2 linked regions of the Lepisosteus oculatus genome follow. The protein of the gene in region 2 purifies or fractionates together with the protein of the main gene of each other region. This does not show direct contact. Links are inferred from orthologs where the notes say so. Each region holds a gene or a part of one and is shown on either strand. Other genes may lie near its edges.

Region 1 (9,111 bases), on a different chromosome or scaffold from region 2:
GCAGTGAGCACTGAACACCAGGGAGGCTCCCGATACACGCAGGACCGAGCAGGAAGAGGCAACTCGGAGACGTTTCGGAGCTGGGGAAGCAGCAGAAGAAAATCGGGACATTGAGTCAAAGCACAGAATGGATTTCAGGGGGCGGCGCATTGAAAAATGGCGTGCAGGTACAAGGAAGAGTGTCAAACTCTTCCTTGGGCACAGTGTGGGGTCACCACGTTTGGGGGGGGGGAACAAAATGGAATCAGACCAGAGAGGCAGGGTCCACCCCCAGACTCAGGGGGGCACAGAGAGATTGGAGGAAGAGGAGGAGCAGGGAGGGGGATGAAGACGGTGGCTGAGACAGCGGGAGGAGAGAGATGGGCGCAGCGCGAGCAGAGGCGACGTCAACTGTTGCACAACACCGAGCTCTAAAAAGGAGCAGCCACAAACAAACACCGCTCCTGCCACAGGCGATGTGTGTTCGCTGATGAGCCAACTAGCAGCCATATCACCCTGCAACTCCCAGCTGGCAGCCCACTGACGCTCAGCATCCATCTCTGGAGGGGAGACTCCTGGGAAAACTGAGGTTGCTGCTGGAAGAGGTGTTAGTGGGACCAGTAGGAGGCGCTCAACCTGCAGTCTGTGTGGGTCCTAATGCCCCAGTACAGTGACGGGGACACTATACTGTAATAAAGGTGCTGTTCTTCTGATAAGAACCATAAAACAGTGGTCCAGACTCTCTGTGGTTATTAAAAATCCCAGGGTGTTTCTCGAAAAGAGTAGCGATGTTATCCTGGTGTCTTGGCCAAATTTTCCTCTGCCCCTTACCAGTCATGGCCTCCTACTAATCCCCCTCTCTGAACTGGCTCCATCACTCTGCTCTCCTCCCCACTGAGAGCTGCTGTGTGTGGAGTGTACTGGTGCATCATCCAGGTGGGGCCACACACTGGTGGTGGTGGAGGGGACCCCATTACCTGTAAAGCGCTTGGAGTGGAGCAATCAGAAAAGCACTAGATAAGAGTAAGGAAGTATTATAATTACTGACGACCCCCGTCGGCTTTCTGCCCTCTCCCCGTCAGCGAGGACAGCGCTGACTCAGAAGGCCCACCACTCAACACCAGCAGATGTGTCAGAACCACAAGCCCCACTCGCCGCCCTGCCCGGAGGAGGAAGTGTTTAATTTTAGCAGCAGCACGCACACGGGGGGGGAGGGCATGTGACCTCGCAGCGGCCAGCGAGGGGTGTGTGCGTGCACGGTGTCGTGGGCAGCGCATGACGGGACAGTGCGGACACACACAGACGGACACACGCGTGTGCCTCGTGCAAGCACACACGATCACGCGTTTGACAAAACTTCCCCATTCCTGGATCTTGCTATTAGAGGTCACAGAGTGCTGGCATCAGATCGGCCATGAAGAAACCGTACAACGCTTCCCAGCGCCGCTGTTGGACTTGGGAAAAGCTTACACCCACAGCCTCTACCATAGAATTCATTAGAGAAGAATACAGCAAGTGAGCTCTGGAACAGGCTGCCCAGGCAGAACCCAGGCTTTGTCCAAGGAACAGCTGGACGAGGTCCCCTCTAATCAGGACGGGAGGTACTACTGTACTCAAAGAGTAGCGGGGGTCTGGAACAGGCTGTTCAGCCATGTTGTCACAGCCCATATCAAGGCTTTGTTCAAGGAACAGCTGGACGAGGTCCCCTCTAATCAGGACGGGAGGTACTACTGTACTCAAAGAGCAGCGGGGGTCTGGAACAGGCTGTTCAGCCATGTTGTCACAGCCCATATCAAGGCTTTGTTCAAGGAACAGCTGGACGAGGTCCCCTCTAATCAGGACGGGAGGTACTACTGTACTCAAAGAGCAGCGGGGGTCTGGAACAGGCTGTTCAGCCATGTTGTCACAGCCCATATCAAGGCTTTGTTCAAGGAACAGCCGGACGAAATCTTGGGACCGATTTGCTACTGAGCACCCAAGCAGATGGAGCAGAAGCAGATGAGCTGAAAGCTTCCTCTGGTAACTGGCTAATGCAACACCTGTCCGACAGGTACCCTGTGAGAAGCAGGTAACCATGTTCCTGAATGTACTCTGCCTGATTTGCTTATAAAGCATAAGGCGAAAGATTTACATACTGCGTCACTTTGGTATTACGTCTCTCCTTTATGATTCCTCACAAGCCTGTTCCAATAAAAAATGCATCTACCGTACCGTCTTTACCATAACTAATTAATCAGGTTCCGTGTCATTTAGTTGCTGATTTTAAATTTAACAGCAGTTGTCTGTGTTATGTTACGTTCTGGGTGAGGGGAGGAAAAACTGGAATGCTCCCTTCGCCCGGCGGATGTTCTCCAATTTTACCATCGCTAAAGAACCACGCTTCGGACTTTAGACCTAGGAAATTCCCGAGGCTTGGGACAAGCGTTAGGCCTTCATACATCATTTATAGATTAGTCACACGATTTAACAAATGTGCTCATGATGTGGAATTGGCAGTTTTACTTCCTTTTGTCTTTTCACGCTAAACTATAAATATGTACAGTTTATTTCGAGCTGACGAAAATAACCGGTCTCACCCGCACTGTTAAAATACATTTGAACAACAGTAAAGGGTCGACAGAATGGCTGCACAGAAGCGAGTTACCACAGTTATTTTCGAAGTTGAAAAGCGGTTTCTGTTCTCACAACACTAAAGAAAAACGCCGAGTGTAGTAAAGCCAGAAAAATACCTTTAAATTCAAAGACAATCCGTGTATGTTTTACAAAACAACGAGAAACCACATTTATTTTCAGCAAACTGTTTAATTATTGAAAACATCCGAGGTGTTTTGGTGAACTGTATTGAAAACTTACGATTTAAATTACTTACAGACGGTTTTTTTTGTTTAGAAAAGGGGATGGTTTAAATACGACACGTCATTGCGTGTTCGCACGTTCTCGGAACTATTTCGTGTTTAGCTGTATATTTAAAGATCCCATTTTGTTATAAGATATTGGGCACAATACCACTTCGTATCGGTTACTCTTGACGTCAACTGACAGAAACCGATGAGTTGGTTTTTTTTTAGTTTCAAAGACAAATCTAACCTTTTAAGGAGAACTGTGAAAACTTCATCGAGGAACTACCAACAGTTTACAAGAACATTAAAAAAAAACGCGTAACCGCGGTCGTTTACCGTTCTCTGATGGCACATTAATCGCAATACAAAGATGTTAAGATCTACCCTACAAAAACATGTAGGTTGTTCAGATGCGCGAAGTTTGTCGCAGCTCTCTCCCGCGTCAACTGTGAGAAGGGAGGTTCAGTGAAACTTTCTTGTAGCCCGGGCTACAGCAAGGTTTCTTTTAAAAACGTGTGCATGCCAAATCCGTAAACTCTTACCCGGACTACTGATCCCTCTGCCTCATGCTCCTGATCTCTGTGAGCTGTTTCTTAATTGGTAATTACTGTCGTGTTTCCAGAAAAGCAAGTCGACCGCGACACTCCAGGCACAGGGAGCCCCAAGCAGTAAACACACAGAGAGAGAGATGGGCAGAGCATGTTCCGGGTCTTAGCGCCCGCCCGGTTCTGCAACCCCGGAAAGGGAGGCCCCAGATCGGGGCTGACTCGAAATCCGTCATCGGCGGCTCCGGGGCTCGCCCGGCTGGGGAGCCGCTTGGTGTCTGTCGTTTGCAGGAGAGCGGGCGTGGGAGGGGTTTCCAAACTGGGGGAGCTGTGTGTCTGTGTGTGTCTGTCTCAGCCTGACGATCCATGCTTGTCTATCTGTCTGTGTTTATCTGTGTAACTCTGTCAATCCATGCTTGTCTATCTGTCTGTCTCTCCATTCCTGTTTGTTTCTCAGTCTCAGCCTGTTATTACAACCTTATCTATCGGTCTCTGTGTTTATCTCAGTCTGTCAATACAGGCTTGTCTGTCTGTCTACCTGCCTGTGTGCTTGTCCCTGGAACATCAGAAAGGTTACAGCCTAGGGGAGCCACTTGGCCAGTTTGGTTGCTCAGTAGTTCATTAATCCCAGGATGTCATCCGGCTGTGTCTCGAAGGATCTGGGGTATCGGCTTCAACACCATGGCCGGGCAGCTGGTGCCACCCTCACCACCCTCTGGGTAAAGTGCCTCCTGTCGTCGGTTTTAAATGCAGGTGCTGAGAGAGAGGAGGAGTCACAGTGCTGACGAGCAGGTCTTCTGAGAGGGAAGATGGTCACCCTTCACCTTAGTCTAAAGGGGGGGTTAACGTGTCACTAAATATTGGGGTGTCAGCATGTTACTTAATATTGAGGCATTAGTGTGTCACTAAGTATTGTGGGCGTTAGGGTTAGGGACAGCTCCAGCTGTTTGCAGGGCAGGACGCACATCTGGGCTCGTCAAGGAGAAAGCAGTGACACTGCAGGGCTCTGGGTGTATCAGTCTTTATTTGCACAATGTGTTTTAACAAATTCAACATACAGTTAGCATTAGTGTAATATATCAGCATAGACTTTATGGCATTATGCAAGTTTAAACACAGTTCAGGTTACGTTTTTATCATTTATTTCCACATAGAAGTTATTTACTTGGAATTATCATTGATATGGAGTTATTTAAGTCATTTTCCGTTCTCCAGTTTTCCCAGTTCTGTGTTTCAGTTTGTTCAGCTGTACAAGCGAGCAGACGGGAGTGACGTTTCCCGAGGGGTGGGGTGGGGTGGGGGGGACGGGCCTCCTGTCCCCCCTCCCAAACAAGAGATAAGAAAGTGAAACATGAAAACGCCCCCCACCCCCGTTCCTGGGAGCCGATCTCCTCCTCTTTTCCCCCTTCCTAACAGGAATGAAAGGGAGTTGAAGGGGAAAGTGTGGGCTCTCTGCATCCCACAGGAAACGAAAGAGAGAGCCCACTCAGCTGGAGCTGGACAGGGGTTTGAGCGTGATGGGTGGTGGCGGCTGATATCTTCCTGAATGGATATCTTGTGGAAGAAAGCTCTGAGGGTAATGCCGGCGATGGGAGGAGCCCCAGGCCAGAATTCCCCACGTAGCGGAATGAATGAGGGCAGGGAGAGATCAGTCAGCCTCTTGGTGACACAGTGCCCCCTGTGGCCTGGTGGGAATTTGCAAGCAAGTGCTGTCAGTGAAGGACATGTCTGTCCTCCAATCAGAGCTGGCACCTTGACTGGGGGGCGGTACTGCCTGGGACGTGTTAAAAGACGATTGGCTGGGGGGCAGGTGGGTGGGAGGTGCCTGCCTGCACTTCTTCACTCTCTCCCGTGTGCAGACACAGGGTTCGTAGCTGCGAGCTGAGACACGGCGCTTCCCAAATCGGGGGGGGATATAGATCAGCAACTAGCGATTCTGCATTTTAAAAGAACGAGGCGATGGGGGACGGCGCTCTTGCCTACCGCCCTCCTCTCTCTGAGCTGAACCCCGAGGAGAGTCTGAGTGCGCCGATACACCAGAGTGCTCTTGTGAGGGAGAAAAGACGCGCCGAGGTGACCCTGCTCTTCGGGGTGTGCCAGTGCCGTGCCCTCGGATTCCCTGGAACCCTGAAACGTTCCGACAGCCCCAGACAGAACCGGTGCTGGCCTGCCTCAAGCCCGAATCCCGCCTGCCGACCAGAGCACGCCCCCTACAGGCCAACTTTAATTGGAATGACGGCATCACTGTGATCATTAGAAAGGAATGTTCTTTTTCTATATACACTGGACCTAGGAGACAGAGGATCTGTATCTTCTTCATTGGGACGCAGTTCTGGCATTACAGACCATTTTTTTGGTAACAGTAGCTGGGTTTCAGCCTCCTATATTACAGTATGTACAACTTGCCCAGCTTTTCAAGAGGGCAGTACAAACAACTCTACCCCCCAACCCCCAGCGTCTGACCCCCTTGTAAACGGATATCGCTTTAAATCGATGCACTGTAAATGACTGAAGGGCAGCACAAACACCTCTACTGCCTTCCCAGAGCACGCTGGACTCTCTGGAGAGGAAAGAAATGCCCACGTACACAGGGCTCTCTCACTCGTCCAGACTGGACCGGTGACCTCTGGACTGTAGGGTTACAGTGTGACCTGGCCCAGACTGGACCAGTGACCTCTGGACTGTAGGGTTACAGTGTGACCCGGCCCAGACTGGACCAGTGATCTCTGGACTGTGGGGTTACAGTGTGACCTGGCCCAGACTGGACCAGTGATCTCTGGACTGTAGGGTTACAGTGTGACCCAGACTGGACCAGTGATCTCTGGACTGTAGGGTTACAGTGTTACCCGGCCCAGACTGGACCAGTGATCTCTGTACTGTAGGGTAACAGTGTGACCCAGACTGGACCAGTGATCTCTGGACTGTAGGGTTACAGTGTGACCCGGCCCAGACTGGACCAGTGATCTCTGGACTGTAGGGTTACAGTGTGACCCAGACTGGATCAGTGATCTCTGGACTGTAGGGTTACAGTGTGACCCAGACTGGACCAGTGATCTCTGGACTGTAGGGTTACAGTGTGACCCGGCTCTTTAACTGCTCAAGCAGACAGACTCTCCTCTGCCAAAATTCTTCTTTGCATGACAACAGGAACATTTAACGTACAGTAACTTTAACATTGGTGAACAACAAGACGGACATTATCTCTTTGCAAATAATTTCCTATATATATATTATTTTAAACAAAAACAGCTCTGTGACATTGTGACAGTGCAGTAATATTCCCACCCCGACACAGTGCCTGTGTCTGTGTTTCTGGAGAAACGGCACTGCTGTCTGCCTCCACTCGGCAGCATCACTTATGGCTCAATATTTGCAAAGGTGTGAAGACCAAGCTGGGGACACCTATAGGTCAAAGATTCCCTCACGGACACATGCACTGTTATTTCTAACTATCCTGTAAATCTCTCTGGTTAATGTATAATGCAAACGGACAACTGTATATAGCACTCCAAATTATTTCTTTAAAAAAAAGAGCACATAGTGTAGAACTAACCTCTGAATCGGGGGGCCCTAACCTAACTAGGGTCCCCCAGGGGCCCCAGTCCAACAGGGGGGTGCTAGTTCTACTTCACCAGCAGCTGGGGAACCACCGAAGAGATCCGGCCCTCATCTGGAGTTTCCTGACCCGCTGTCAGAGCAGCTTCCTGTCCTGTTGATGGGTGAGTGAGACCCCTCAAGGGCCCTGCTGGACTGTGACCCCGACCCTGCGCGAGGGGGGACCCCCCTCCTGATTTAAAGGAGCTAGTGGCTGATAGGTGGGGTGGGCGGAGGGGAGGGGTGATGCAGAACGTTTACAAAAAAACCAAGCTGGGTCAGGGTTCCCAATCCGTATATACACCTCACCCCCCCACGCCCCCTGAACCCCCCTCCTCCCCCCTGGTGCCCTGGGGGGTCCGTCCGTCCTCCGGGTGCTCCTCCTTCCCTCTCGCTGTGCAGTCTGTGACTCGGGCTCTGCTCAGGCATGCAGTAAACCCGAGAAGGGAGCGGGGCGAGGAGGGGGTCCGAGCTGGGGCGCAGGGGGGCGCTCTCGTCCTGCTTGGGGAAGAGCAGCCGATCGGCGGTTCCGAGGTGTGCCAGTCCAGGGTTGGAGACGCCCCCCTCCAGCGCGTTTGCCTTTTCCTCGGTGAACTTTCAGTTTTTCCCTCCCACCCTGTTGTGGTTTCAGAATTTTGGCGGGCTCCCTCCCGCTCCCCAGACCTGCGGTTGAATTCCTATTCGCATCTCTGTTTCTCCTCTTAGCCAGCTGCTCGCTGTACAAGTCAAGGGCCTCAGGCTCTGGGCAAGGAAACAGGCAGCCATCTTGGTTATCGTCGTTGTAGTTGCTGCTTTCGGCCACCAGAGGGCGCACCTCTTTCTGTCCTTCCCTCGACCTCCCTTCCCCCACTCACCCCCCCCCCCCCCCCCCCGCCCCCCCACCATCCCTGGGGCCCCTAGTACTCGCTGAGGCTGTGCCACTTGGCGACCTGCCGCCGGGGGTTGTCGTAGACCTCCCGCCAGTGGGTGGCGCCAGAGGGGCAGGGGCTGTGTGCCCCCAGCACCACGCGGCCCACCACCTCGTTCTTGGTGGTGCGGTCGAAGTCGATGACCAGGAACTCCAGGGAGATGTCCGGCAGCAGCTCGGCCGGGATGTCGTAGATGAAGGACTCGTTGAAGACGGGGTTGAGCGTGCACTTCTTGACGTGAGTCTTCTTCTTGGCGATGCGCTTGCGGCCGTAGAAGACATTGACCTTGACGTAGGGGTCTGGGCGGAGAGGGGGGACAGAGAGAGAGAGAGAGAGGGGGGAGAGAGTGACGGAGAAACAGGGAGAGGAAGGAGAGAGTGAGAATTGTTCAAAAACTTCATGGTGAGATCAGGGTAAAAGCACAGTACGGTGGAGTGAAGCTCAGTGAGATCAGGCTGTGTGTAGATCTGGGGCTCGGCTCAGGCGATACTCACTGCCAGACAGACCGGTGATATCCATCTTCGGCAGGTGTTTGGCCTTCAGCACCACCACACTCAGCCTGTGGGTGACCGGCTGATAGGAGAGAGACACCAGTAATTCCCCCCGACTGACACACTGGAAAGACAGGAGAGACAGCGTTATAACACACTGACACACTGCGAGGACAGGAGAGACAGCGTTATAACACACTGACACACTGCGAGGACAGGAGAGACAGCATCAAAACACACTTTTCCTCAACTATCTAATTCTCATTCTTTCCTCTCTCTCTCCCTGCTCCTGCTCCTCTCTCCCTGCTCCTGCTCCTGCTCCTCTCTCTCTGTAGCTGCAGATTCCTGCACTGAGGATCAGCGTCTCCATGGCAACACGCTGTAGGAGGCAGCCCAGGGCTGTAAGTGAACTTTTGAAAGTGGAGGAGAGAGCAGTGAGAGCTGAGTGACCCCACAGCGATGGGGCCGTGTGTGTGTGTGTGTGTGTGTGTGTGTGTGTGGACTTGAATCTGAAACACTGCGTCACTGTCTCTGTGATTGCACTTGTTCAATGTAAGTCAGACCGTGTGTGTGTGGACACTGTGTCTCAGTCAGACACTGTGTGTGTGTCTGGACACTGTGTATCAGTTAGACATTGTGTGTGTGAAAGTGTGTGTGTGATGACACTGTGTCTCAGTCAGTGTGTGTGTGGACACTGTGTCTCAGTCAGAAAGTGTGTGTGTGTGAGAGTGTGTGGACAGTCTCAGTGTGTGTG
Region 2 (9,069 bases):
AGAGGAGTGTGGAGCCTGCAGTGTGAGGCTCTCGGGCCGCGCTTCATACCTCACTGTCAGAGCTGGGCTGGACGACCTCCCAGGTCTGGGAGTCCACATCGTAGCAGTGCAGCTCGTTGGGCAGGGTGTTATCGGCAGCCCCCCCAAAAACGTACAAGTGCCGATCAAAAGCCACCATAGTGTGTCCATAGCGTCGCTGTGGGGGTGGCGGGGAACCCCGAAGCAGATGCTCTGTGGGGATGCGGGTCCACCTGCAGGGGAGAGATCATAAAGAAAATCTATCCTCTTAATGAAATGATTCCCGCCTCATAATATATGACACAGCACAACCAGTTACTCTCACTCCATTCCCATGATCTGCTTGCCAGAACAATGACAAAGTGACACATGTCATGCAACACTAGTATAAAGAATGTACACGGTCATTCTGCCCATACTGGAACTACTGAACACAGACTAGTACACATACTGTAAAAACACTAAAAATCTACAAGATCGACACAGCATTTAAAGCTTACTGTATAATCACACGATAACAATTAAAGATTTACATTTACATTTTTTTAGAAAATCTTCTGTATCAGCTGTACAAAGGAAATACTGACTTGTTACCAGTAGGTAAAGAAGCACTGGAAATGTCAGAGGTAAGATGATTTTTTGCTCAATGAAAAGAATGAATTATGAACACTGAATGTTAAAAGATATTGAGGTAGCTTCTTTAAGGCCAGCACTTATGCTTATTGAGGATTTCTAACTTACACTTTGTCCTTGAATTCAAACTGAAACAGGTTGTTAGTGATCTTCGCTCCACTCTGACCAGAGAAAACGAACATCTTGTCCCGGCACACCGCCACAGGAAAGTTGCAGCATGAGGGGGGAATCTCTCCACTCTGCTCAATCTGGAAAAACAAGAATTTTTTAGAATTTTCACAGAATACCTGTTTATGCAAGACATTTCAAGAAAGAGCAAGTCTGGGCCCTTTTGCTGCATATGCAAGTCATAAATCAACAGCAGACAAGAACAAAGTCCTGTGCACTGACTGGCAGAGGACAAAAATGACAGTGACTTAAAACACTTTGACAACAGGACTGTCCCTTGGATCCATGTGAAGAAAAGCTTCAGAATTATTTTTCCTCCAGACAAACAAGGAATTGCTTGAACTAATTAAAAGAGCACTTTTGCACATCTATTTAAGAAAGGGATAACAAAAAAAGTTTACAAAATCTTTAACGGAGCCAAGAGAGTCAATAGAATGAACAGTTTTATTGTTTCCTCTTAAATCGCTGGCATTTTACCGTAATGAACAAAATCTACACTTTCACTTTATTTTTGTACACATTATTGGACAAAAAATAGCACTTTATGTCAAACTAACCTCTTCCCAGCATGCTTGCTCACGGTCCTGAAGGCTGATCGTCCACATGTCACTTAGCCTGGAGTATTACAAGAAATAAATTAGTGTATGCCTTAAAAAAACAAAGATATTATAAACAGAATTATCGCGAATGGTCTAAGACAAGATGAAAATTATTTACCTTGCATTACCATCATACCCAGCAAAAATCCAGAGTTTATCACTGTACACTGTTGCTCCGTGAGCTGATCTGGCAACAGGCAACCTGCAGAAAGGAAACCAGAGAGGTGATACTGTTTCAGAAACACAACAGAATTATGCTCTCTTCAGCTTCTATGCAAGGCAAAATAAAAATGCATGACTAGTTTACTTTCTTAAATCAATGTATGAAAACCCGATTGTTTTTCTCTCTTATGAAGATGATTTTTTGATCTGGCCAAGAATTACATGCCTCATTAAAGGTAACAATTACTTCATTCTTGTATCTAACTCTGAATGCCTTAATGCTATGCTGATGTAAAGAAAAAAAGCTGGCTTTGAGGGAACACACATCAACAGAACAATGATTGATAACACTGCACGGAAAATACATTCACGAGGAACAACAACACCCAGGAATTAAGTGTGTGAAACATCTCCAGAGTGTCTTCATCACAATTCGGCTTAACCTGGCTTGCTGACCTCCTGGCCACAAGGAAGCTGGAACCCCTTGCAGAGTGAGGAGTGGGGCCCCAAGGGGCAGCAACACAGGTGGAGATGCAGTGGAGAGGGGATGTAAAAACGTTTGCAAAGCAGAGTAACAGGTTACATCTAATAGTTATAGTCTTTATGAAAGAAAATGATGTCAGGTTTGACTACAAATGATGTACAGCTGAGGTTGACAGACCTTCGATGTTGTCTTCCCTCCCAAACGCTCATTTTGAGCTCCATTTATAACAGTTTTGAACTGATGTACTACTGTACCTTCCCTCTACCTTCCATTCCGTCCACTGGCCTGTAGCAAACTTGTACTCAAAAAGATCATTTTTATTCTTCAGGTTGGAGTTGGAGTAGATGTCCCCAGTGTAGCCACCTGGAAATTTGAGACCGTACGGTTACGCATCACCAGCACCAGAAGAAAAGGCAAATACGTTTATTAATAAGACAGCCGTGTGACATGGAAACGCTTTTTGTTTAACAACCATAATAATGAAACAAATATCCATCTTCTAACTGCTTCCAATAATGCTGGCAAGCAGGAGCAAGGCAGGGGACACCCTGGACACAGACATCGCAGGACAGAAAGACTCTCGCATTTGGGGCCAGTTTCCTCAGAAGCCAATTAGCCTACCAGTATGTTGCTGGATTGTGGAAGGAAACCCACACAAACATGGGACAGAACAGACAAACATCATGCAGACAGCCCTCCCAGGTCCATAACTGATCTCACTGTGCCACTAAATCCCCCATGAAACACATTTTGCCTTAATTATGCCTCGTCAATACTGCATCATGAACATATAAACTGTGATAGAGGGGTAAGCTGCCTCACCAAAAACAAACATGCTGCTTCCATGTACTACAGCTGAATGGTGATATCTGGGAGCAGGGGGTGAACCAGTCGTAAAAGCCCTGGCAAGAAGAAGAAAAACAAATGACCAAACCAAGATGCAGACCCAAAAGCCACTTTAAAATAAAATGGGTCATAAAGTTCATCGTGGAGGGGGGAAAAAAAGTTATCTGTTGACATAAACGGTGTATAAACGCATTCTCCTGGAATGGAGAAGCAGGGATTACCTGCACCAGGAGCAGTCCTTGACATCAAACCGCAACAGATCATTCAGCATGTTCTTTCTGTTGGGAACGAAACAAATGTTCATACTTGCTTTCACCCAAGTCGCATGCTAAAATTACGACACATTAAATATCACCCACCCATTGTCTCCTCCGAACACGTAAATTGCATCCTTGTAGGCCACAACTGTGTGCTTACTGCGCCTGTCAAAATTCAGAAGCGAAAGCCCGGAATGATTACACGGTACTGTACTCAGTTAAGACGCGGTGCAGCATTGCAGTAAAATGTAGTAAAGAAAACTGATATGAGCTCTGAATATAATTTAAAAATCTTACAGCACTGTACGTTCAAATACACCACTGACATCATAATGCACATATCAAAATCCGTGTAAAACAAGACTCGCGAAGCTTTCGGAAATCACATGCACATGACGGTTTTGCAGTTCAAAAGCAAATCTCCATACTTAAAAAAAACATTTTTTTTTACGAACATATCTCTGTGAGGTCTGCGTGAGAGTGCAACCGCACCGTTAGACATTTAATAAGATCTGCACCTACAGGATTTACAGAAAGTTGTATTTTGTTTTACCTAGCACCCACAAACTCATCACAGGGTGGGAGTCTCCTCCAGCGATGGACGGTCTCAATCGGCCCAAAGTTCAGGGTCAGGTATTCGACACTGTCCGAGCAGCTGTGGTCAAAATCAACACTCGGGGCGACTTTAGACTTGCAAGACATTGTTCCCGGAAACCATGACATTCAACCGCCGCATAACACGACACGGTCAGTCAATGAAACCCCAGTATTAAAAACGGATTTACTGTCGTGCTAGCGAAGGTCCCTTCATAAACGTAGTTTTAGGGACCACGTCTACAAGACACAGTGGTTTCTGCGATGCACCACTGCACCAAAAAGCAAAAAAAAAAAATTAAAGCTGACTTTAAGTAGAAAATCAAGACGAATGTAACTTGTTTGACTGGTAAAAGTAAATACAAAAACGAAGCAAGTCCTTCGGAACAATGTAGCAAACGCTACATTATTTTACTGGAAAAAACGTTACAAATGTAGCAGAAAAGAAAAACACGCAACACACACCAAATAAACAGCCATTACACTACCACGCCACACCTCTTGCGAAAAAGAGATCCCTGGGTATTGTAGTTTATGTGTCTCAAGTTCCATTTGCAATTGATGCGTAGACTAAACAATAAACGACAACAAACCCCAGAAATCAATTCGGTTAGCTGGCAAAGTCCAATGCACACTGGGAGCAAGTCGAATTCGGAGAAGGCATGTAATTGTCATTGATAAACTTCAAGTAGCATCTTACGTGTTACTTTTGCAGGGAAGATGCTACTTGAAGAGCTTAATGTATTAGGTTGCTTTCGTTTAATGATCGAACGCTGAATACATAAACATTAAATCTAGTTGATACGTAGAAAAGTAAAACAACTCCCATCTGTAAAATACTGTTTTTTTTTTCAGAAAAACAGCTGAAGCTAAAACGTATCCACCATTTTCAGTGTGATGTGTTTAAAATTAAATTTAGACTTAATTATTTGTTTCTCTGAAGAATTGCTATTTGCATTGAAGGCAAATAGATAGCGAACAGATGAAGGCTGTAGAGTCATTTTAAGAGTCATCTTTTACGAATCAACTCTCTTCCAGTATCAGTCACTGTTACTGACGATTGACAGGAAAGATAATGAGCCTCTTGTAATAGTCATAATTTTGTTACAAGTACTTATTCCCGCTATAAGATAAGGACGCTCTTATTGCACAGACGGTATAAACAGGCAGAGCAAATCAATTACTCAAAAGAAAAAAAATGAAAAAAATGTGAAACCACCATTTAGATATGAACAATCCCCTTACACTTTTTTGCCTATTCTAAAGCATTGACACCGCATGGTTGTTTTGTTATTCAGGATGGTAAATACATTTTTTTTTGCAAATATGTTTATAGTGTTACCGATCTGTTTTTTGCTGTCATGCTTTTGCTTTTTTCTTGTCATGCATGGATCAGTGTGACAGGAGCGTAATTCCCACAGAGAAAACCTCAGAAACTTGTGAGTGAAGCACAGCATTATCTTTATCCTGAGTTCAAAGAGTATAGGCGATCTAGTTCTGCACATGCATAATTAGATTAGTGCTGTCTAACCCGGGAAGCACTCCCCTCACCACAGTGTGCAAGGATGAAACGAGGCACTCACACGGGAATATCAGTGGTAGGAGAGATAAAAAACTTAAGCAGATCATGTCAAGATAGTTTTCCAAAAAAAAAAATTAAGTAAGTATATTTACCAAAAAGAACCAAACCAAAACTTGATAATAATGAATGAAAATAAGGATGCTCAAATCGTGTTTGAATGATGGAGGGGCAGAGCGGTTGGTCTTAACTGACATTGATAAAATGTTGTGCTATTAGGTCAACCTTACTCCCAGGGTCAGTTGTGTGGTCAATGCAATGCGAAATGATGCAGAATGAGATCTTTGAGAGGAGAATGCTTGGACACACAGGACTGCCAAGCTAATTTTGGAGAACAGCCTAGAAGCACATTACCAAACTAGGCAATCTGCACATTAATGCATGATTAGGCTAGACAATAAGATGCCATCATGGCCATCATGAACGCTCTGTACATAGGTTTGCATGTCAAAGTGCTAGGAAGATGTGCTCAGTATGCAGAACAGTAGTCAACAACAAACCGACACCTTTTATAAACAATGACAATCTGCAAGACCTCTAGACCTTTTATGTCTCAGACCCCTTACCAACTTCTTCACTTCATAGCAAATCCCAAAGTGCAAGATTAAGTATGACTTTGGAAACAAGCTCTGAATCACCAACATATTAAAGCGGTGGTTCTGTGGCTAAGGATCTGTGCTTGTGGCTGGAAGGTTGCTGGTTCGAATCCCACGGCCAGTAGAGGAATCCTACTCCGTTGGGCCCCTGAGCGAGGCCTTTAACCCCAAGTGCTTCAGGGGTGCTGTCACAAACCGCACACAGACATCGTTGCATTCCCACGGGCATCCGATTACTAATCAACTTCGCTCATCTTTGGCTACTTAAACTCCCACTCTGCAACTTGTCCTCTCTCACTATTGAGGTTTCCTCAGCCAAAGCTACACGTCCTATTCGCAACTTAGTCCGACCTCTCGTTGTTCTTGTGATCACCTGGATTTCTGACCCCTTGCTCCTGATCTCTGTCCTCGCTCTAGCCTCCCGATTTGGATTACGTTCGCCTAAGGAATCCAGTTTTTTCTCTCTCTGCCTCCGCACAGGGTCAATTTTCCTACCCTTTTCCCTTGGCACACCTGACAGGCGCTGTATAAATGGCTGACCCTGCGCCCTGACCCCAAGCTTCTCTCTCTGTCTGTGTGTCTCATGGAGAGCAAGTTGGGGTATGCGGAAAGACAAATTCCTAATACAAGAAATTGCATATGGCCAATAAAGTAATCGTATCTTAAGTGATCTTATATCTGCAAACAAGTATTTTAAGAGAAAATGGTCCTCATGCTGAGTGATCATAGAGCTTAAAATAAGATAGACGACTAGATTAATCTTTGACCTTTCTGAGCAGAAACTAGTCAGTGCCTTTCAGCAGCTTCAGTTTCCTCATATATCATAGTGAGATAAAGTTACACTAAATAACCTCAGTTGAAAATTTGCCATTTAAGTACAAGGCTAAAGTAATATGCCTTATTATAATTTTAGTAATAACCTTGAAAATGTAACAAAAAATGGATGAACTCATCTAATTGTTTTAAGAAGAATGGGAAGAAGTACTCTCAACAAATCTGATAAAATTCAGGAGACATCTAGACATCTAGCCTTTGGAAATTAATTATCCAGTTCCACCCCAAAGTCTGTCTCAAGAAAATCTAATACTAAGAGAAACAGCAATTAAACACAAGTTAAATAGTTGCAAAAAAGGGCAAAAATGAAACTCCCAAAAGCCATACGAGGGAGCTAGAGACAACGTTTTCCCTGTATAACCGTTTCAATGAACATAGATAACAGACTATTATTGTGGCAGACTATACAGTGTTTTACCAGCTGTTTAAGATTGAAACCTAGAATTACGCTCTTTTGAAGGGAGGGAGGGGAATCGAAGACATTATGAAGAACGAAATAATAGTATGAGTACAATAAATCTTCATTGTATGAGCAGCCGATATAGTTATCCTTAAAAGTATCTGATTTCGGAAGCTTGCCTCAAAAAATTATGCACTAAGTTTTGGCTCGAAAAGCAAATGTGTGGTCTGAATGGAGACATTACAGGTCATACTGTAATAGCATACTACAATATAAAAAATATCAGGAGTACTTGGCGTCACAGTTTTTGTATCAGGTTTTACCATTAATCCAGAGGACAGCTGAGACGTTAGTTTTTTGTTTAATAGAAAGGCTTGTAATCTGAACCTTCAGCAGTAGCTATCAGTATAATCTGTAAAACACATTATACCATTTAATTCACTAATTAAACCTTTTTAATGAGTATTAGTTCATAACACAAGATCTACATGAAATGACTTACAGCCTATATGTTGACGTTTTAGACCAATTCGTTCCCCACAACTTTCTTTGAGTTTCCCCATTCTTTACTTGATCATGTTTCCTTTGCCTTGAAAACATCTTGTGTGTGCACTGCCGTCCGTTCTCTCTTGGACATATCTGGTTTCATCTAAAACAGTGCTCATTGTTCCCTATAATGATATTTATCGCTTTTACAAAACAGTATGTCTGTTGTTATGCTCAAGCTTAGGGATTACCCAGCATTTATAAGGTGCATTTATAAGGTACTTGATTAGGAGCCCTACCAGGTCATTACCACTGCAGAGCCTGTGCTTGCTGCAGCTCACAAGCTGTTCTCTAGACTGGAGCTGAACTGATAGACAATGGTGTTGTTGACTTCCAAACTAGTGGAGAGGATGGCTTTTTTTGTCTCCTTCGTGGGCTTTGTCATAACCTGTGTGGTCACTTTTCTGCCTCTTTGGAAAACCCTCAACGCGGAGCTCAATGAAATGGAGAACTGGTACGAGGGGCTGTGGCACACCTGCATTTTCCAAGACGAAGTGGGTCTGCAGTGCAAAGCCTTTGACTCCTTTCTGTCTCTGCCCTCAGGTGTCATAGCTTCCAGGGTCTTGATGATCTTTTCCATGGGAACAGGGCTCCTGAGTGTCTCTGTGGCCTTTTTTGGACTGGAGGGCATAAATCTGGGAGAGGGCAAAGAGCACGTCAAGAAGAAGCTCCTCATCCTTGGAGGGGTGCTGTCCTGGATTTCGGGGATCACTACACTTTATCCCATCTCCTTGGTGGCTTATGTGACTGTGGTGGAATTCTGGGATGACAACGTTCCTGAAATCGTTCCCCGGTGGGAGTTTGGGGAGGCTCTTTTTGCAGGATGGTTCTCTGGGCTGTTTCTTGTTCTTGGAGGGTCGTTCTTGTTCGTGTCGCTCTGCATGAGAAACAACATCCACTCACAAGTGCTCTCATCCAGCATGACAACCCAAAAGAAACCGCAATACTTAAAGACAGAGGTGTTATAGTCTGGATTTTATTATCTGCTCTTATCGTATATTTCTGTTTAAGGGGAAGGGGGACCTAGCTTAACATTTAAGTAATGGTGTGTGGAATCAAGAGGAAGTAAAAAGAACGTAAGCAGACCTGTTTAAGATGTGTCAGGAAGTCTTATTTTATTCTTTACAACTATTTCTAGTTAGGTTTAAGAAATTAATTTCAGCCAAAATGTTGAATTTCCAGTGTGGTGCTCCCGAACTCTTTTTACTGGAAATGTGCCAGGAAGGATTTCCATAGTTTTAAAACATCTATACATTTTGTGCTATTGGTTCTTTTACATTCCCCTTGAAGATTTTGTAACTTGGAATATGTAAATGATAACTAGGACTTTATTCTGAATGTGCATCAACCGTA

What was found.
Region 1: the proteins of lztr1 (region 2) and rit1 purify together in Homo sapiens (affinity purification with mass spectrometry; 3 studies listed by BioGRID and IntAct, counting the BioPlex papers as one, with this or other methods). This does not show direct contact. The link is inferred for Lepisosteus oculatus from reciprocal best matches to the Homo sapiens genes LZTR1 and RIT1.

What each region holds. Positions count from the first base shown.
Region 1 is NC_090722.1:6,442,704-6,451,814, forward strand, and holds the start of rit1 (GTP-binding protein Rit1), read right to left. Parts: upstream 3,499-9,111; 5' UTR 3,362-3,498; intron 1-3,361. Other genes in the region: syt11a (synaptotagmin-11a), read right to left, coding at 7,855-8,165, 8,361-8,481.
Region 2 is NC_090717.1:5,506,208-5,515,276, reverse strand, and holds the start of lztr1 (leucine-zipper-like transcriptional regulator 1), read right to left. Parts: upstream 4,233-9,069; 5' UTR 3,891-4,232; coding exon 3,721-3,890; intron 3,333-3,720; coding exon 3,270-3,332; intron 3,189-3,269; coding exon 3,132-3,188; intron 2,967-3,131; coding exon 2,887-2,966; intron 2,428-2,886; coding exon 2,319-2,427; intron 1,621-2,318; coding exon 1,537-1,620; intron 1,435-1,536; coding exon 1,377-1,434; intron 900-1,376; coding exon 760-899; intron 252-759; coding exon 50-251; intron 1-49. Other genes in the region: cldn26 (putative claudin-24), read left to right, coding at 8,034-8,684. UniProt on the Homo sapiens protein: Substrate-specific adapter of a BCR (BTB-CUL3-RBX1) E3 ubiquitin-protein ligase complex that mediates ubiquitination of Ras (K-Ras/KRAS, N-Ras/NRAS and H-Ras/HRAS).